3 linked regions of the Saccharomyces cerevisiae S288C genome follow. The gene in region 2 interacts genetically with the main gene of each other region. Each region holds a gene or a part of one and is shown on either strand. Other genes may lie near its edges. The genes, in order: FBP26, YGL185C and YKL162C.

Region 1 (3,600 bases), on a different chromosome or scaffold from region 2:
AATGTTGCATCCTCGGATACAAATGTAGACGAAGTGTTTTTTAATCGACATGATGAAGAAGAATCCTGGATACTGGACCCAATACAGGAAAAGTTGGCACATTTGATTCATTGGATAATGAACACTACTTCTCGGAAACAAACAATGAAAAACAAAATTCAATTTAGCTTAGAAGCCCAATTGGAAATATTACTTCTTATTAAATCTTCGTTCATTAAAGGTGGCATCAATGTTAAATACACTTTTCCAGCAATAATCACAAATTTTTGGAAACTGATGAGGAAATGCCGTATGATACAAGAGTACCTTTTGAAAAAAAGACCCGATAACAAGACGTTACTTTCCCATTATTCCAATCTTTTAAAGCAAATGTTTAAATTTGTTTCTCGTTGTATCAATGATATCTTTAATTCTTGCAACAACTCATGCACAGATCTGATTCTGAAACTGAATTTACAATGTGCCATTCTAGCTGATCAATTGCAATTAAACGAAATTTCATATGATTTTTTCTCACAGGCCTTCACAATATTTGAAGAGTCTCTAAGTGATTCAAAGACTCAGTTACAGGCTTTAATATATATTGCTCAGTCTTTACAAAAGACAAGATCACTCTACAAAGAAGCTTATTATGATTCTTTGATTGTCAGATGCACACTCCATGGATCCAAATTATTAAAGAAACAAGACCAATGTCGTGCTGTTTATTTATGCTCCCACCTCTGGTGGGCAACGGAAATTTCAAATATTGGTGAGGAAGAAGGTATCACAGACAACTTCTACAGAGATGGTAAACGGGTGTTAGAATGTCTACAAAGGTCTCTCCGTGTGGCGGATTCTATAATGGATAACGAACAGAGTTGTGAGCTAATGGTCGAAATATTAAATAGATGCCTCTACTATTTTATTCACGGGGATGAGTCCGAAACTCATATATCGATAAAATACATCAATGGTCTGATCGAACTAATCAAAACAAACTTAAAATCGCTAAAACTAGAAGATAACAGTGCCTCTATGATTACCAACTCAATCAGTGATTTGCACATCACCGGAGAAAATAATGTGAAGGCAAGCAGTAATGCTGACGATGGCTCTGTAATCACAGATAAGGAATCAAATGTTGCCATAGGATCGGATGGTACGTATATTCAATTAAATACTCTGAACGGATCTTCCACGCTAATACGCGGAGTCGTAGCAACTGCTTCAGGTAGTAAATTACTGCACCAACTGAAGTATATCCCAATCCACCATTTTCGACGCACTTGTGAGTACATTGAAAGTCAAAGAGAAGTTGACGATCGTTTCAAAGTCATATATGTATAGTTAAATAACGTACTTGCTCTTCGTACATGCCCAAGATAAAAAAAAACTACACAAATAAAGCTAATAAAAATTTACCTAAAGAAGGATCATAGATTAAGTGGAAGGAAACTTGTACATAATTCGAGTTTATTTTCAACTAAGATATCAAGGATTGTTTACTATAAAAACACTTAATTGGGTAATTTCTATTTTTTACTTTTTTTCTGTGTTAAAAAAATGGGTCGCGCCAATGCGCTCACAAATCTATTCTTATCCCTAACTTACATCTACATGTAAAGCGCCACTAAGAGAGCTATAGCTTATCATACATTTACATCAGGTAAAGTATCATTTTGGCCAGTGGATACGAATTTAATATATAATCTTTGCTTTCCCTTCGCTCTTAAATTCACCAAGCAAGTTTGTTAAGAAATAAAGGAAAGGGGGCTCAAAAACCGAATCAAGTAAGACAAGAAACATGGGGTACAGTACTATTTCCAACGATAATGATATCAAAGTATGTGTGATAATGGTTGGCCTACCAGCTAGAGGAAAGTCTTTTATTTCCCAAAAAATTATCAGGTACTTATCGTGGTTATCCATAAAAGCCAAGTGTTTTAATGTGGGAAATTACAGAAGAGACGTGAGTGGAAATGTCCCAATGGATGCTGAGTTTTTTAACTTCGAAAATACAGATAATTTTAAACTCAGAGAATTGGCTGCCCAAAATGCCATAAAAGATATTGTTAATTTTTTTACTAAAGAAGACGGATCTGTGGCAGTTTTCGATGCTACTAATAGTACACGTAAAAGAAGGAAATGGCTTAAAGATATATGTGAAAAGAATAATATTCAACCGATGTTTTTAGAGAGCTGGAGTAACGATCATGAACTGATTATAAATAACGCTAAGGATATCGGTAGCACATCTCCTGATTATGAAAACTCTGAACCTCATGTGGCGGAAGCTGATTTTTTGGAAAGAATTAGACAATATGAAAGATTTTATGAACCTTTGGACCCCCAAAAAGATAAGGATATGACGTTCATTAAGTTGGTCAATATTATTGAAGAAGTAGTAATTAATAAGATCAGAACATATTTGGAAAGTAGGATTGTATTTTATGTTATGAATATTCGTCCTAAACCAAAATATATCTGGCTCTCCCGTCACGGCGAATCGATCTATAACGTAGAGAAAAAAATTGGCGGGGATTCATCACTGTCTGAAAGAGGCTTTCAGTACGCTAAAAAATTGGAGCAGTTAGTGAAAGAGAGCGCAGGAGAAATAAATTTGACCGTGTGGACTTCCACCTTAAAAAGAACACAACAAACGGCAAATTATCTTCCCTATAAGAAACTGCAATGGAAAGCACTTGATGAATTAGACGCTGGCGTTTGTGACGGAATGACGTATGAGGAAATTGAAAAAGAATATCCTGAAGATTTTAAAGCACGTGATAATGACAAATACGAGTACAGATATCGTGGTGGAGAATCATACAGAGATGTAGTGATTCGTTTAGAGCCCGTCATTATGGAATTGGAGCGCCAAGAAAATGTTCTCATTATAACTCATCAAGCCGTACTTCGGTGTATATATGCATATTTTATGAACGTTCCACAGGAGGAATCCCCTTGGATGTCAATCCCACTACACACATTGATCAAGCTGGAGCCTAGGGCCTATGGCACAAAGGTCACCAAAATTAAAGCAAACATCCCTGCAGTGAGTACATATAAAGAGAAGGGTACAAGCCAAGTAGGTGAGCTTTCTCAAAGCTCAACTAAACTTCATCAACTGCTCAATGACTCTCCTTTGGAAGACAAATTTTAAATTTTACTTTTTATTTTTGTGTATCTTAAGTCCAAGCTTACTTGTGGCTGATACGCACAATCTTTTATGTACGAAAAGATCAGGAAACGTAGCATTGATGGTTTTTTATGTACGTCTGCAGCATTGTATGTAATTATTACCCAAACTAATTTTAAGTGAAATTGTAGAACGCCGCGGCGGAAGTATTTTTGAGTAAAAAAAAAAAAGTAAGATTCGAAAATGAAATTATACAGTACAGAAAACGTAAATATACAATAAAGGTTGAATAAACATACTAGATATCCTCCTTTCTTTTTGCATGTACATAGTACTGGTGTAAACTCGATATACCGATGGTCAGATTTTTTGGTTTAAACAAGAAAAAGAACGAAGAAAAGGAAAATACAGACTTGCCTGCAGACAATGAACAAAACGCAGCAGAAACGTCGTCTAGCAACGTATCTGGAAATGAAGAA
Region 2 (9,182 bases):
GGCCTAATAAAAACGACGACATGGAAGACAAACCACCTGTGGCACTCAACCATAGCCCCGCGACATGCAAAAATTGTTTCTTTGATGTTCCTCGTTCATAGGGAGATATCCTCTGAATACCGGTAGACTCTACTCCCATTGCGTCCACTTTCTTAGAAAGCCATGCCGCCCTGTTGATAATTCTTCTCAAAATGGACGGACTTGAGTTGGCCTTTTCTGTGGCTATGTTTAAAGAAGAAGCTGCGGTTCCTTCTTCGTAAAATTCTATTACATCAGTAGTATGCTTTGTATGATCTTCTTTGCGCTTTGTTGTGTCCATGTTGTCCCTATTCATCTATGATCGAAGTTTTTCAAGTCCTGTTCTTTGATAAATACTCTATAAAGCTAATAATATTCAACAGTAATATTTTTATACTGAGAACCTCAACATCTGTTCTCTTTTTTAATGGCCTTCTCTTAGACACCATCAAAGCAGCCTGACGCAGAAAATTTCAGGTGAGATAAGGTGCGGCGAACAAATCCGAAATTTACTTACACGCAAGTACGAGTCATACACCTACGGGGCACTGTACTACAATCCATTGTCGAAACAAAAACGGCACTTAATGTTGACTTCTTTTTGAAGTCAAATGCATACGAAAACTCGCACTGCTCTTTTTTCTTGGTGTGTTGACGTATATGTATATATAGGTATGTTAACATAAGGTTCTTACGTCTCTTACTATCAAACTACACGGGAGAAATGCTCATCGCTTGCGGCTTCCCCAGACACTACCCGTAAGATTCTTGTCAATGCCAGTTCACAACTTTGCTCAAAAACATCCTTTGTCGCACTACCCAAATGCGGAGTAATTGAAGTAAGTCTATCAGAAGATCTGATTTTTTCATCTATTTCTGGTTCTTTATTAAAGACGTCTAAACCGAGATGGTTGATTCGTCCCGTTACCAAGGCGTCAGAAACAGCCCGCAAGTCCAAAATTTTACCTCTTCCCAAGTTGACTAAAATTAGGCCTGGATTGCAGTGTTCCAAAAATTTCCTGTTGATTAAATGTTCTGTTTGTGGAGTTCCCGGCAATGTGACCACGATTGCATGAAACTGGTATAGTTTTGCATATATTGTTTCATCTAGCAAATGAAATTTCCAGCTTTCGTTTTGACTCATTGTGCAATCTTCGCTTCTTTTGCAATAATGTATTTCCATTCCTAGCCCGTATTGCAACTTGTAGGCTACTTGCTTTCCAATACTTCCTAAACCAAGAATTAAGCATTTCTTTCCTCTTGGTGATTCAGCAAACATATTCCCCAGTTCATGGCCAAAAGCAAATCCGCTCTTTTCTGCAGCTTTCGCCCTTGCAGTTAATGTATTTCCAGTTTCTCTACTAAGTTTTTGGTAATAGGAGAACTTTCTAAAGCCCTCCAGAATGTGCCACAAGGCACAATCTGCCACATCATTACCGACTTGATGAAGCTTTAAATCGTCTATCAATTTTTCATTTTCATCGTCTTGGTAGTTGTATAATCGAATTTCATGCTTGCGTAATGTATCCAGATCCCATCCGTCGTAACCTCTTGAGCAAAGCACGATACATTTTAAATTTTTCCTTGGAAATGACTTGTGTTCGATGATACTTCGAGTCATCCCACCGATTTTTTTGAATGCCGGAAACCCAGCATAAATGGCACATATTTTGTCTTGTTCATGCCTTTCTAAAAAGTTAAGAAATGCTTCTTTGGTGTCCAGCTGATAGCGCAAGATCCTGAACTTCTCTTTGAATGCCTTGGAATTAAGTGTGGCTGATGTTTCGCACGGATCTGCGATGAAAAGAATAGTAGGCTTTCCAGTCGTTGCAGGAGAATCGCACATTTTTTGTATGCTCTTTTCCTTCTAAATCTGCTGTCAACCCATTGTCGAGTGAAGTTATAAAAGCACAGCTATTTCTATATTCCTTTTACGACCGCCATTACACACGTTCATTGAGGCAAACTTTCCTCCTTCGCGCGTGCGTTTCCCAAGGGTAGTAGTAAGAGCTTACGGAACAGCCCGAAAGGCTGTAAAAGTTTAATATACTTACTGTTCTTGAAATTCTGTCTATATACTTGACTATTTAAAGTTACTATCTTTGGATTTGAACCTTATAAAAAAAAAAAAAAAAGGTACATGCATATTTTCCCTTACAATTTCGAACTCTTAATATTCAATTCTGAGTCCTTTCTGATGAGATCTTGATTGTAAAATTCTTCGTAAATACTTAAAGGCTTATGCAGGTCATCGATGGTAGTGTTCACAGCTAGGTTCTTATTCAATTTGTTGAAAAGATATTTGCCATTTTCTCTTACTTCTATAATATCAGCGTCAACCATCGCCGCTAATAAATCTTTCTTCAAATCTACTATATTTTCGATACCGCAGCAAAGACGAACCAAATCTTCAGGAAAATCTCTCTCTTTCCTTAATTCGGGATCAATGGAAGCATGGGACATTTTGCAAGGCATAGATAGAAGCGAATTTACACACCCGAAAGATACCGTCACAGCCCATATACTCAGTTTTTTGGAACTGACCAGTCTCTTTGAATGTTCGAAGGACCCCGTTTCGAAGGATAACACGGCACCTGGGCCATTATTGAACGATTTATGCAGCTTGAAATCCGGGTTGGAGCGTAATCCAACAAATCTAGTTTTCGTAGCCTTGTTTGTTCTGGTAGGTTTGAATCCGCATGAATTTTCTAGCCAATGAGCCAATATCATAGCATTTCTCTGCTGTTGATATAATCTAACTCCTAGAGTTTTTAGGCCCCTCACAAGTAGCCAAGAATCCATTGGGGATAATCCAGCTCCTGTAGAATTAATGACAAAGTAAAGCTTCGAGGCTATTTCTGGTGTTTTGCTGATAATAACACCCCCCATCAAATCGTGATGACCATTCAAGTACTTGGTAGCAGATTCGTATACGACATCGCAGCCTGGATTCAGTTGAAGAGGATTACAATTGAGTCCACTCATCATAGTATTATCAACGACAACTGTAGTGTCGGGAGATATGCATTTCACAAAACGTAATATTCTAGGGATATCTACAACCTTGCAAAGCGGATTGGTCGGAGACTCTAGAAGAACACAATCAACTTTATCTAAAGACTGGAAAACGGTTTTGAACTTTTCAAAATCGGAAGTGTCCACATGAACAGAGACTGCATGACTCTGTTGCTTGAAAAAATTCAGCAGCCTTTGGGTGCCTCCATAAAGATCATCGCCGGCTATTATTGTTGGCGTATGGTTGTCAGTGCCGTTAAGTAAGACGAGCCCACGCAGGATGACGTCTAGCGCCGTCATACCACTGCTCACAGCTAATACGTTTTCCTGTGGGACACGATAAAGCTTACCAATCTGGTGTTGAAGGACACTTCTGGTCGGGTTTCCCGATCTGGAATAATCGTAGTTCTGTGCATCTTCATTATTCAAGTCCACTTTGAAGGTAGTCGACAAATACACCGGTGGCACGGAGGCTGAATGTTGGTCATTTTGAGAGCCGGTATTTACCACAACTGTATCTAATCTCTTGATCGGCATCTTTTTGCTTCTATGCTTTTGTTGTTTGCTTGATATTTTTTGTTTTTAATGAACTGTAAGCACACAGAGCTATGGGATGTGTGGCAATGACTGTATATATATGTATATATATATATATATATATATATATATTTATTTATTTATTTATTTAAAATATAGCTACGTATGCGCCAGTTGTTTTTATCAGCTTTGCTTCTGGCCACATTTCAACCAGGTCTCAGAGGATATATGGCCAGAAGGCCCCTTTACACACTTTTGAGATGCGATGAGTCTTCCAAGGTAGGAGCATATGCCTCCAACAGACTTCGGCCCGAAGCATGCTGTGCTCACGGGAATTATATTGTGTGAAGCACATGCCACACTTTCCAAAAAAGAGTCAGAATGAGTCAGCCGGATAACCAAACGCGGACTGTGGCGCCACGGAAAACAGTGTGGCAAATTTATGGGCGGCTAATCTGCAAGCTCTATGCCTGGAAATGTAGATGTAATAATCAAGACACTTTTGTTCTTTCGTGTATAGTGCATGAAGGTTAAACCTCCGTAAATTCCTTGAACTCTTCTGGAATTCCAAATTCTTTTCTTATCTGTTCTGGCTTCAAAAAGAATTTCTTGTATAAATAATCAATGAGAATCTCAATGTTATCAGTAGTTTTCTCCAGATGCACTTTTTTTAGGCGGATCTGTTGTTTATTCTCTTGTATTTTTGCTGCATCCCATCTAATGCTTTCTATTTTTTGGAGACTATTACTCTTTTTCTTAATTTCATCCTGAATTTTTTTTCTCTTTTCCAGTAGAGCCTCCCTATTGTATGATTTTTGGCCTACCGTAAATTTTTTACGCCTTCCAGTTGCTAGCGTTTTGTCTAGTTCTTGTTTATAAGTGGCAATATCACACTTTACTTCCTGTATCTTTTTTTTTATCAACTCGCTTGAATCATACAATTTTTGCAGTGTCTGATTTTTAAAGCACCAGTAGATGTTAATATTACCACATTTTTCCACCGAAATGACGCCGTCTTCATCAATCATTTGTTGCACTAAATCTTTAACGATCATGGGTGAGATTCCGCATTTTTTAGGTATGCTTTTCTCTAATTCCTTGATGTTGTAGAATGTGTACGTCTCTTGAAAAAAGTTCAGAATCCGGTTCTTTTTCTCTTGGAGTGATACTGTCTGTCTCTTTGGCCCCTAATAATAAGAAGAGGGTAGCACGCACCCGTCTATAAGTTAGTGTTCAGTCCTGTGTACCATGATGGTTTTATTAGACATACCATTGTTGAATGTTTATGATACTACACATAAAGTTTCCGCCGTTTAGTCTATATCGCAAAGAATAACGGTGGGACGGGAGATCGCCTTTTATATGCAATTTCGTGATCTGGGCGGTTATTTTACTTTTTTTCGACGCATAAAAAAGCAGGAAAGATGGTAAATTCGGTTCGTTATTCAAGATTTTTAGAGCCAGAAAGATATTTGAGCGTGCCTTCGTGAGAAGAGGCTTAGGTTGAGACGATGATGCTGAAATTATGGCAAGACACGAATTCTTCTTCAAGTTTCCCTTGTCATAATAAGAAGAGAAAAACATACCTTTATGTCGGTTGCAATTAAGAAGGTTGTATAGAGCATCTCAAATGCTGCTTTTACTTTATTAAACGTTGACCAAATAATACGGCGCTTTTGTTTCGACAACGACACACTATGATGCAAAGCGGATCCGGGTAATCGATAAATGGGGGCACCCGGAAATTATTGTAAGTTGAAGAAAGTTAGTGTTGATCTCTAAATGCTTCACAAAAGGGTGGAAGAAGAACATTTTCTCTTGATCAATCATTAATATAGATGGAGGCAGCGTTCTGTCAATCACAGATTATAGTTTATTTATACTTAGTCAAAAATGAGGTTTAGGAGTTCTTCCCATAGCTTAAAACATGTTGACAGAGAATTAAAGGAGTTGATTAATTCGTCCGAGAATGCCAATAAATGCGGTGAATGTGGTAATTTCTACCCAACTTGGTGCTCAGTTAATTTGGGGGTTTTCCTTTGTGGTAGGTGTGCCTCTGTTCATAGAAAAGTTTTCGGTAGCAGAGACGACGATGCCTTTTCTAACGTTAAATCACTATCAATGGATAGATGGACAAGAGAGGATATCGATGAATTAGTGAGTCTTGGAGGCAATAAGGGGAATGCTCGGTTCTGGAATCCTAAAAATGTCCCTTTTCCTTTTGATGGAGATGATGACAAAGCCATCGTGGAGCATTACATTAGAGACAAGTATATTTTGGGTAAATTCAGGTATGATGAAATAAAGCCTGAAGACTTTGGATCCAGAATGGATGATTTTGATGGGGAATCGGACAGGTTTGATGAAAGAAATAGAAGTAGGAGCAGGAGCAGATCTCATTCTTTCTATAAAGGGGGCCATAATAGGTCTGACTACGGCGGTTCCAGGGACTCATTCCAAAGCAGTGGAAGCAGATATTCTAGGCAACTGGCAGAACTCAAGGACATGGGTTTCGGTGATACAAACAAAAATTTAGATGCATTATCGTCCGCTCACGGAAATATCAATAGAGCAATCGATTATCTAGAAAAAAGTTCAAGTTCAAGAAATAGTGTATCGGCAGCAGCGACAACATCAACTCCGCCCCTGCCCAGGAGACGTGCGACAACAAGTGGCCCACAGCCAGCTATTTTTGATGGTACAAATGTAATCACGCCAGATTTTACTTCAAATTCAGCATCTTTTGTACAAGCAAAGCCAGCAGTTTTCGATGGTACCCTTCAACAGTATTACGATCCTGCTACCGGAATGATATATGTAGATCAGCAGCAATACGCCATGGCTATGCAACAGCAGCAACAGCAACAGCAACAGCTTGCTGTCGCACAGGCTCAGGCTCAGGCACAGGCACAGGCACAGGCTCAAGTTCAGGCTCAGGCTCAGGCTCAGGCCCAGGCTCAGGCTCAAGCACAGCAGATCCAGATGCAACAGCTTCAGATGCAGCAACAGCAACAGGCGCCATTATCTTTTCAGCAAATGTCGCAAGGAGGAAACCTGCCACAAGGTTATTTCTACACACAATAAAAATAAGATACATTGCCGCTGCTCCGCATTACATATCATATAGAGTGACACTAAGTAATTAAATGACACTAAGTAACGAAAGATATCTGTAAACAACGACTATATACCAGAATTAGTCATATTCTCTATTGTATTCACCCTACACAGCCGCATTACACAGCTGCTCCGGACGTTTTACGCTGCACATCAATGACTAATACCACTGTATTTGATCCACACTTAGCGCAAAAGTCACCTGGGTGGCGTTTTCCGCTCGCGCTCCGCCGGTGAGAGCGAGAAAAAAAAAAGGGATTGGGCGGTAATGTAAGGAAAACCCACTAGTTAAAATCAATGAGATAAGGAACTCTCTTTTTTTCCCGTTAATCATCTTTTCCTTGTTCGTTTCGTGTATCTGTAATGAATCTTATCGGAGTAACTATTACTGGAAAGCCATACCGTTAAAGAAGCAAGCATATCATTCGTATTCAAGCATCTGTTTTTCTTTTTAACCGCTCGGCTCTGATTTCTTAAACCATTTCCCCCATCAGCATCAGTTTGTGATTTGTAACTATATCGATCGTGGAATCGATGGAATTCTAAGCGTCATTTAGTTGGCAACAAAAGGAATCGAGCATCTCATAAAGGAGCTTATATTATTAATATCTTCCTGATCGTACTATTTTTTTTTAGCTTTTTATTTTTTAGGCCGAGGTTAATTCTAGAACGCCACATTTCATCACCTTTAAGTTAAGTACCAAGGCCATCTTTTACCCTTTTTAGTTTCTGGGGAAACAGAGAACAGTACTATAGAAGATAAAAAGATATAATACAATCGTAGTAATAGTACCCATAATAAAATAACATATAATATAATAAAAACATAAGGCAAAGGAGATAGGAGAATAATCATTGATATCTCCACAAAACGAATTTGAAGCTACCCCATATTTTCAAATCTCTTTTACAACACCAGACGAGAAATTAAGAAAATGGGAGACATTAAAAATAAAGATCACACAACCTCTGTGAACCATAATCTAATGGCAAGTGCAGGAAATTACACCGCTGAGAAAGAAATCGGAAAGGGTTCGTTTGCCACTGTATATAGAGGGCATCTGACATCCGACAAATCTCAGCATGTAGCCATAAAGGAAGTATCAAGGGCGAAATTAAAAAATAAGAAATTACTAGAGAATTTGGAAATAGAAATCGCTATCTTGAAGAAAATCAAGCATCCTCATATCGTCGGACTTATTGACTGTGAACGAACATCAACAGATTTTTATTTGATCATGGAGTACTGTGCTCTTGGGGACCTAACATTTCTGTTGAAAAGGCGTAAAGAATTGATGGAGAATCATCCTCTACTAAGGACCGTATTTGAAAAATACCCTCCACCGAGTGAGAACCATAACGGCCTGCATAGAGCGTTTGTCTTGAGTTATTTACAGCAGTTAGCGTCCGCTTTGAAATTTTTGAGGTCTAAAAACTTGGTTCATAGAGACATCAAGCCTCAAAACTTACTATTATCTACACCCCTAATTGGATATCATGATTCAAAAAGCTTCCATGAACTTGGATTTGTTGGGATCTACAACTTACCCATTTTAAAGATAGCAGATTTCGGGTTTGCAAGATTTTTGCCAAACACGTCATTAGCAGAAACTCTTTGTGGCTCACCATTATATATGGCACCAGAAATTTTGAATTATCAAAAATATAACGCTAAAGCAGATCTGTGGTCTGTCGGTACAGTGGTATTCGAAATGTGCTGTGGCACCCCACCGTTTAGAGCTTCCAATCATTTGGAGTTATTCAAGAAAATTAAAAGAGCAAACGATGTCATAACGTTTCCTTCATATTGCAATATTGAACCAGAGTTAAAAGAGTTGATATGTAGTTTATTGACATTTGATCCAGCCCAAAGAATAGGATTTGAGGAGTTTTTTGCTAACAAGGTAGTCAACGAAGACTTGTCTTCTTATGAATTGGAAGATGATTTACCTGAGTTAGAATCCAAATCAAAAGGTATTGTAGAAAGTAATATGTTCGTTTCTGAGTATTTATCTAAACAGCCAAAGAGTCCGAACAGTAATCTTGCAGGTCATCAATCAATGGCAGATAATCCCGCGGAGCTCAGTGATGCCCTCAAGAACAGCAATATATTAACTGCCCCAGCCGTTAAAACAGACCATACACAAGCCGTAGATAAAAAGGCTTCAAATAATAAATACCATAATAGCCTAGTTTCAGATAGAAGCTTTGAAAGAGAATATGTGGTGGTAGAGAAGAAATCGGTTGAAGTTAATTCATTGGCAGACGAGGTTGCTCAAGCAGGATTCAATCCAAATCCTATTAAGCACCCAACTTCAACTCAAAATCAGAACGTCTTATTGAATGAGCAATTCTCTCCAAACAATCAACAGTATTTTCAAAATCAAGGAGAAAATCCGAGGTTACTGAGGGCCACATCATCTTCCAGTGGAGGTAGTGATGGGTCTAGGCGACCATCTTTGGTGGATAGACGCTTGTCTATATCCTCGCTGAAT
Region 3 (9,018 bases), on a different chromosome or scaffold from region 2:
CCGGGAAGCTAGCGTAAGAGACCTTATTCGGAACCGAGCAACCATTTCCGAATGTAGTAGTAGTTGAAGGAGTAAATCGACCTTATTGTACACTACTTCCTTTAAATTTGATTTCTGGCCCCGCGCAATTTCTTGGCGGTTAAGCTGTATTTTTACCTCATCGGGAAAAGTTATTGCAAGTTAAAGGGGATCAAACGATTAGCAAACTAATTATAGATCAAAGGCCGAGGGCTTTCTAAATTTGGCATATTTCGCCGTCGACTGAAATAGAAGGGATAAATCATGCATCTCCAGGATTATCCCTACTCCATTCATTACAACATGCGCCAAATCAAGCCTATATAAGATTCTCGTCATTTAGCATGCTCTATTGATTTGTGTCTTGTTTTGTCTAACACTGAAACTGTAACCTAAGATTTCTTTAGATAATTATTACATTTACATCAATAAGAAATCTCATAAAACAAGTACTGTTTATAAGTAAAAATGCAATATAAAAAGCCATTAGTCGTCTCCGCTTTAGCTGCTACATCTTTAGCTGCCTATGCTCCAAAGGACCCGTGGTCCACTTTAACTCCATCAGCTACTTACAAGGGTGGTATAACAGATTACTCTTCGAGTTTCGGTATTGCTATTGAAGCCGTGGCTACCAGTGCTTCCTCCGTCGCCTCATCTAAAGCAAAGAGAGCCGCCTCTCAGATAGGTGATGGTCAAGTACAGGCTGCCACTACTACTGCTGCTGTTTCTAAGAAATCCACCGCTGCTGCTGTTTCTCAAATAACTGACGGTCAAGTTCAAGCTGCTAAGTCTACTGCCGCTGCTGTTTCCCAAATAACTGACGGTCAAGTTCAAGCTGCTAAGTCTACTGCCGCTGCCGTTTCTCAAATAACTGACGGTCAAGTTCAAGCTGCTAAGTCTACTGCCGCTGCCGTTTCTCAAATAACTGATGGTCAAGTTCAAGCTGCCAAGTCTACTGCTGCCGCTGCCTCTCAGATTTCTGACGGCCAAGTTCAGGCCACTACCTCTACTAAGGCTGCTGCATCCCAAATTACAGATGGGCAGATACAAGCATCTAAAACTACCAGTGGCGCTAGTCAAGTAAGTGATGGCCAAGTCCAGGCTACTGCTGAAGTGAAAGACGCTAACGATCCAGTCGATGTTGTTTCCTGTAATAACAATAGTACCTTGTCAATGAGTTTAAGCAAGGGTATCTTAACCGATAGGAAGGGTAGAATTGGCTCTATCGTTGCCAACAGACAGTTCCAATTCGATGGTCCTCCACCACAAGCTGGTGCTATCTATGCTGCTGGTTGGTCCATCACCCCAGAAGGTAACTTAGCTCTTGGTGACCAGGATACTTTTTACCAATGTTTGTCTGGTGACTTCTATAACTTGTATGATAAGCACATTGGTTCTCAGTGCCATGAAGTTTATTTGCAAGCTATAGATTTAATTGACTGTTGAACGATGCATCGATCAATCGGAGTCGTCCTCCTTTAACTTCACGAATTAGTTGCCACTCTCATTCCCCACACATAAACTTGTTTTATGGCATCCTTTTCATTTAGCATGTCTTTATTTCCAAACCTTTCCTCGTTCTTTGCATTCATTTAGCGTTTGCTCGAGAAAGCATCACGTTTTCACACATTATCGTTCGTCGCTATAATAAAAATAGTTATAGAATTTACTCAGATTTACATGTCGTACCTTTTTAATTGTAAAAAAAAAAATTTTATGATACATAATTACCTAAATATAATTCAGAATCAAACATACTTATAGCTATTTGTATGCTATTAGGTGGTCCTGCTATAAAAATATCGTTTATAATACTTTATATTTTATCTTTCAACTTAGTCGCAATTGCAGAAGCTTTCCCTGAGAAAAAATTTGTGAAGCTAGCTGCGATAGCAAAGGAGCGCTTAAGGTATAGAAAAGCACTCAGCTGGAATGCCAAAAGATAGTTTAGCAACTGACCAAGGAAAAAGCTTGTAGGTAGACTTAACTTCATTGTTCTCTAATCCTTTCGTCGTGTATATTGTAAAAACTGCTGAACGAGTATTGATAAAAGATATCTTGGCCACTAAGGGGCAGATCCCCTTCTGGTGTGATAGACAACCCCAGGAGCATAGATAACACCAACTTGTGGTGGAGGGTCATCGAATTGGAATTGTCTGTTGGCAACAGTAGAACAGATGCTGCCCTTGCTATCTGTCAAAATGCCGCTCTTCAAAGTTACTTTCAAAGCGCTGTCACTGCTACGACAGCTTTTTTTTTAGAAACAGCAGCAATGCCTTGACATGTAACGTAAGAAAAGAAAAAAGAGATGGCAGAAGAAATACTAAGCGATAACGGCAATGTAGAGGTGCTTTTTTTATCGGAATAAATAGAGAAGTCAGTAACAGTGATTGCTGTGGCTCCCTCTTTAATCGTATCTATGTAGGTTCCGATTAAAGTGGTCGTGATTCAGTATTTTTTTTACTAATCAAAGTACATGCACTGTTTTTTGTGGGGATAGCAATGATTTCAATTTGGCCGTCAACGATCTAAGAAAAAACGTCTCTCTTAACCGTGGTAGATCCTGTTGTAATTGTTTGGACAGTGATACCGAAGAAGGAAGTAAATTCAGTAGCGCCGCATGAGGTAGTAGCAGAAGGAGTTAAGGTTGACCATGGCTCACTTGGCATATACTGTTGGGCAGAAACAGTATAGTGAAACTGTTATCAAACCAATATATTTGGGCTACATGGCTTTCCTTTCCCGAAAAAGACACCATTTAGTAATTATGTTGTACTTTTACTCTCTGAACTTCTGTGAATATAAAAAATATACTAAATAAAAGGATGCAACTTCCTTAAAGAGGGCAAGATAGCGACATAAAGTGGAAAAGTGTTAGCAACATTGCGCAGGCATCGATTAATATATGCATATATACTTTTTACGTAGTCTACGTTAAATTGTCAATAGATCAAGCAGAATCGGTAGCTCTGTTAAGCGATTAAGCCCAGTGGCTTTTTGTCGCACCGTTTAGGTTCGCGTTAGCAAGATGGAAAAAAAAGAACGCGAATCATGTATTGACGTATGACGTATTAGGCAATTTACAAGATTAAACTTAAATTTGCGACGGAGTTTTGAAGTAGAACGAACACCTTACTCATCCGCAACAGGAAATTTTCACGCAGAACGTGCCTAAGAAAAAAAAATCATATGCGTTTACAGGCACAAATGAAGAAAATGACCGGATATGGATATAAGCTTATGGAAGAAATTGCTCCTATTGAGTTAAGAATATGCGAGCGAGACCTGCATAAGGCTAATTATAACTCTTCAACCCAAATTTGTCTTTCTCTTCACACCCATCTCTTATAGTCCCATATATTCATATGAAAGTTCAATGCTTAGACTCAGTGTGTACTTATGATGTCGTTGAAGGCTATTTGGTCTACTGAAAATCCTACCTCGTACGAATACCCTTATAGTATTATTTAAATATGGGGTTACTATTCGCATTCGTTAGAGTGGTGGGAAATTGATATCTTGTTTGGGAGTTGCGAAACAAAAGAGGAGAAGATATGCGCGCTATGTTTTTCTTAAAAGAATGCCTACTGCCTATGAAATGAATATACTAAACGTAAAAGTGTAGATAATAGAAACAAAGATTAAGGTCGCTTACTGTAAAAAACGTCTTCATTTTAATTCAACGAAATAAAAGAAATCACGTGGAGTGTAGCACCGCCAAAGAGCTATTTTTTATGTCTTCTAGTTGAGGCCTATTTCCATTCTGCGACGAAAGTGTGCTTCTCTCACTTGGGCTAATCCATTTTTCAACAAAATCAGCAACGTCTTCGACTTCGCAGCTACTAGAAGAACTGTTAATACCATTATAAATGTTCTGTAACTGTAAGAAGTCCGTCATGAAGCATATTCTTCCACTCCGTTTGTCTGAAAATATTGAATCCGAATATGGCTGTACTATCTGGCTAGATCCCGTCGGCCGTGGGCTTATTAAACTCTTTAATAACGATATTATTGTTGGGCTCGATCTTTGCGGGGTGTCTACAATGAAAAGTCTATGTTCTGGAATATTATTCTTGATTGTCATCAATATCTCAATTAATTTAGTGGGGATATAAAGTTCTTTACCAGGACTTACATGGGATCGATCATTGAACATTTGTTCTAATGCAAGTTCACATGAGTAGTCAATGGCGCTATCAAAGCTCTTGGATTTTTGTCCATTCTTATTGATATCCACAAAGCACTGTTGCCACCCTTTGTCATCTGAAGAGTACCTTACTAAATCGTGGGTTGTGTATTTTATAACATCATTAAGCATCAAAATTTGGATTGGATCCTCTATGTGAAATTTTTTCTGTAAAAAATATGGGGAAACCGGATAATCTTGTACCAAACTGACTGATCCAGGTATTCCGTCTAAGAGCTTCGAAGGTATTTTGTCACACTTGTATAGAGGTACCATGAAATATTTTATTTTCTGGAACATGTTATCAGATAAAGTAGACTTGAGATATGACATTAAATTTTTGCAAATCTGAATTGCTTGGGGTAAATCCGTGTAAATATTCACAATGTTAAGATCGTAATAAGGATAGTCATTTAATTTGTAATTAACCAGTAGCCATTTGGCAAGGCATTTGCTAAATTGTGGCTCACAGTCAAGAATGTTATCAAATGAAAAGGGTTCTTCTTTTGCGGTTGTAGTTACAGGCTTCCTTTGCGTAAAAAAATTTTCTCTTTTCATTATGTTTGGGAAATTTTGCCACTCTATGTAATCTTTCAAAGAAATTCTCGCAGTTTGGCCTCTTCTTATCCCATTTGTAGAGAGTAATTGCTCGAAAGTAAACAGTGGGTAATCAGATTTCAGATGAACTTGAATTCTCAAGGGGTGTAATCTTTTCATCATTCAATCCCGCCAAAAGCACCTTTAAATGATATCAACTTTTTTGTGAAAATATTAGTAAGCTATTTAAAACGGGAAAGAAAACTTGAGAGAGGACTGACGAGGGAATCATGTTTATATTCGGATCATCGCGAATCTACGCAATGGTGTATCCTACTTTCTCACATTTTGGTTTTTCCCGCTTTCGGAAGGAACTGCAAAACCGCCGAGAGGACTTTCTCTTTTTGCAATATTTGAAGTATATACCAATAATTAAGAAGGTGAACAGGCATTTTACATATTCATTATAGATAGTGTATGTGCGCATCTATTAGTTGTGGTTTTCTGCTACAAAAATTTATCGTCTAAATAATTCAAGTTCTTTTTCTAGGTCGAAGAAAAAATCGCTGTCATCCTCATTTGTATTTTGGTTTGTACCATCATTGACATTTATATCGTGACCTGGGGGAGACGATGAAACTGGGCTCATTTTTGTTATATTTGGCTCAGTAGGTCCGTTCAGTAGTTCACTATTTTCATGCTTAGTATCTTGTTTGAAGGTGTTTTCCTTTTAGTTAACACCCTGAAATGAATTAGAGCTTATTCCCATAAGGTTTTGATATGGCTGGGTTGTAGTTAGTGATGGAAGTTGGCTTACATAGGAAAATTCAGGACTATAACTGGGTAAAACTTTCCTAGAAGGATGGACCTGTACAACTTCTTGAGGAATGGCATCCTCTAAAGATAGTGATGATGATGGGGAATCACCGCTAATAGGATGTTTTCTAACAACTTTCCTGAAATCAAATACTTCCTTTATAACTTCGTTTCCTAATTCCGCCATACTTTCGATATGCTCGAATTCGAATCTAAAGGTCTTTTGACATGAGAATTCCTCATCTATATCATGCCACATTGACAAATATGGATGCTCTAGTGCATCCTCTACAGTAATCCTTTTTTTAGGATCAAATTCTAGCATTTTCTTTAGCAATTCAAGCGCTTCTGGATTAGCACCAGGTAGTATGCTTTCAAACGATCTTCCCGGGATATTACCGAACTGAAAGATATAATTATACACCTTTTGAGAGGCAATTTCCTGCAATGTTTCCTCAGGTGGTGTTCCAAGTATTTGTAGAATATGATTCAAATGATCTACATAATCCTTCCCTTCAAACATTGGTTTCCTACCAAGTAGTTCGGCCAAGATACAGCCTGTTGACCAAATATCGACAGCTTTTGTGCATTCTTGATAATTCAGCAAAATTTCTGGTGCTTTATACCATATCGAGGTTATATAACCCTTAATGAAGCCGTCGTTAACCTTGTGGTTTTCTGAATAACTACACGATAGCCCAAAATTACAAATTTTTAGTTGGCAATCACTATTAACAAGTAAGTTTTTTGGTTTCAGGTCACAATGTAAAACATTAGCAGAATGTATGTATTTCAGAGCACACAGTATCTGATATATGAAGCTTTGAAAGTGTGCGTCTTCCAGGCGTTGTTCGGACCTTATAATTTGAGAAAGGTCACATTCCATTAGTTCTTCATATAAATAAACGCCATTTAGTGCCCCATTTGGGTAAAATACTATATCAGTATCGAAGAGCCACACTATATTTGGGTGCCCTCTTAAATGTCTTAGTAGTTTCAATTCACGAAGAGTTCTCTTGCAAGATAGTTTATTGCCAAACGCGTTTGGTATTTTTCTGATAGCCACGTGAGTTTCCTCGTTCGATTCTGTGTAAGTTGAAGAACAAATAAGGCTGTGTGAGCCCCGACCAATCTTACCTGTCAAATGAAAATGTTTATTTAGGATAAAATCTTGGCCGAATGCACGGAAAATACACCTCTCGGTGTCAGTCGCCATTTAATTGTGAATCTTTCTTCGATATCAAACTATTCCAGGCCGAATTAATCTGGCGGTAAGTCACCTTTAGTTATCCTTCCATTTTGTCCCTTTTCATCCAGTCTCAAACGACAATTAGGACTTACATTAAATAGGCTTTTTGCCTAGTATAACATCATAAAAGTACCTTCTTTTGTTTCTTCCAAAAAAAGACAGTAACCATCTGAAAAGAACGTCATTGTCGAAAATTACAAAGTTTGTGGCAGCGCTTTTTACTGCAGCAAGTCAATTGCTTTCATGGCATTTTCAATCAAAATACGAGTTCTTACTAATTCCTACGGTGCTTCCTGCATTGATTGATCGCGAGTTACTATTTTTAACTCGAATGGGTCTGCGCGTGTTTCTCCGGTGTTGTTCAAAATAATCTGTTTGCTGCGTTTAATAACTACAACAGTTAACGGAAACAGTGAAATTTATTGGGGACTTTCAAGTAACGAATAATCATGCTGGTAGAAATATTTCTATTTTTATAATTAACAAATCTTTTAATGACGTCTTGTGGGCTGAAAACTACGGCGTTTATTTTTTAGATAGGTTATTCCTTCGTTGGATTGAGTAAGAAAATGTCGATACTGTGTTACGTTTGCAAGGAAAAGATTTAGTTGCGATTAGCCATTCATTCTTGTGGAAACTTCTTTAAAAAGGGATGGCGATGGAGTACTTATGTCCAATTATGAAGTCAAATTTATTTTCAAACCGTTACACGTAGATTATTTTCCTGCAGTGGTAAGTATCTTTGAAGTGTTGAAAGTTTTTTGGCACATATTTTTTTGCGGATGTGGGCCTGAGTTTCCTGTTAGAAACAAAGATATGCTTAAAACTAAATAACATTGGAAATTAGGGCATAGTCTTCAATGTTATACTTAAACATCACAGCAGGAGATTGAGATGATTGAAAGAATGGTGCAAGAAATGATTCATTAACATTCTTCCAAGTTTTGCAATATTTGCAAGTATTACTATCAGACTTTAGTTGAAGTGACTATGCTATTACCAAATTTCACTGGAGCCAGAAAAATAAAGATCACTTAGAGACAAAGAAAAGTAACATCTTCAACATAAGCCGGAGCTCAAAAGTAGGAAATCGGATAAGAAACTTGATTCTGTTATTTCAAGTGATTTTTTGCTGTATCGCCCACGTTCTTGTTGTAGATGTTTTGTAGATGTGGGACCGAAAGTAAGTGAACAGTGAAGTAAACAGAATAGGATTCTAAAAAAGAGCTTATAAACTGTTCTTTAAAATTTTTTCTTTCGTGAATGTCCTCGAGCTATCTCAAAGAAAACGAAATCTTCATTCAACTTAAGTGTAGGTATTATTTGCTGTTTCATCAAATGCGGCACCAAAGTGGAAGTATTCTAGTCAGTTAGTTTTTCATTGTGAGGAATTGATATGTCGTTCTCTGATAGAACCACGCTAAGTTGGTGTTCAATTTTTTGCAATTCGGTAGTAATTATGCCTTGCAACATGTTTTATTCTTTTATAGTGTGATACCGTCAATATGATGATTTGCGGTGGAGCATGCATGTGCTTACTAGAAGTGCTGCTCTGGTGGGCATTTTAGGGACAAGAATAAATTCTTCTCTCCACTATCTGAACTTCCGTTATTCTTCTGCACGTAATTGCCGTTTTTAGGATTTTTTGGAGTTGTCACGGTATAGATATGTCTTATTGCGTGATTTCACGGTGTCTTGCACACAACATTTCCAGGTCACAATATTTGGTTCGAGGTTCCCAGCAAGAATTCATTATCCTTTTCAATGTGTCGCATTAAATCATTATCCAAAAACAAAAGAACTTAAGAAGTACAAAAGACACTTGAAGTATGCTAGCGTAAGAAATACGGTAACCAATATTTATATGTAACATGCTTATTCTGTCATGATTTCACAGTTCAAACTACATTCCTATTCAAAATCATCGCGTTAGTGAGACAAAATCGGTGGGAGAGATGTTAGACAAAAAGATGACAACATTGGAAATAAACCACGACGAAAAATACCTTTGAAAGGATCTTTTTTCGATTTTCCTGTGAATTTGTAGGCTTTTGATGGTACGAGGGTAAACCAAACTGGACGGGAAATCACCATTATTAGTCCTATGTAGAGCCTCGTCACCATACCTATATAAACATAACTATTCTTTTAAGTACTTAAACGGCTTTTTTCTGAAACAAATAGCCAATGTTTTCATAACGAAGATTCCAAA

The links.
Region 1: mutations in YGL185C (region 2) and FBP26 together harm fitness more than expected from each alone (negative genetic interaction), as found in Saccharomyces cerevisiae (one large-scale study listed by BioGRID).
Region 3: mutations in YGL185C (region 2) and YKL162C together harm fitness more than expected from each alone (negative genetic interaction), as found in Saccharomyces cerevisiae (one large-scale study listed by BioGRID).

The regions. Positions count from the first base shown.
Region 1 is NC_001142.9:128,830-132,429, reverse strand, and holds FBP26 (fructose-2,6-bisphosphatase), read left to right. Parts: upstream 1-1,786; coding exon 1,787-3,145; downstream 3,146-3,600. Other genes in the region: retromer subunit VPS35, read left to right, coding at 1-1,329; SSY5 (Ssy5p), read left to right, coding at 3,478-3,600. UniProt on the Saccharomyces cerevisiae protein: Monofunctional, high-specificity fructose-2,6-bisphosphatase, which releases phosphate from the 2-position of fructose 2,6-bisphosphate. Has no detectable 6-phosphofructo-2-kinase activity.
Region 2 is NC_001139.9:152,443-161,624, forward strand, and holds YGL185C (putative hydroxyacid dehydrogenase), read right to left. Parts: upstream 1,865-9,182; coding exon 725-1,864; downstream 1-724. Other genes in the region: TPN1 (Tpn1p), read right to left, coding at 1-334; cystathionine beta-lyase STR3, read right to left, coding at 2,173-3,570; MND1 (Mnd1p), read right to left, coding at 4,101-4,757, 4,841-4,843; GTS1 (Gts1p), read left to right, coding at 5,464-6,654; serine/threonine protein kinase ATG1, read left to right, coding at 7,623-9,182.
Region 3 is NC_001143.9:143,915-152,932, forward strand, and holds YKL162C (type II protein arginine methyltransferase), read right to left. Parts: upstream 4,925-9,018; coding exon 3,716-4,924; downstream 1-3,715. Other genes in the region: PIR3 (beta-1,3-glucan linked protein), read left to right, coding at 487-1,464; putative protein kinase KDX1, read right to left, coding at 5,472-6,773. UniProt on the Saccharomyces cerevisiae protein: Arginine methyltransferase involved in the assembly or stability of mitochondrial NADH:ubiquinone oxidoreductase complex (complex I).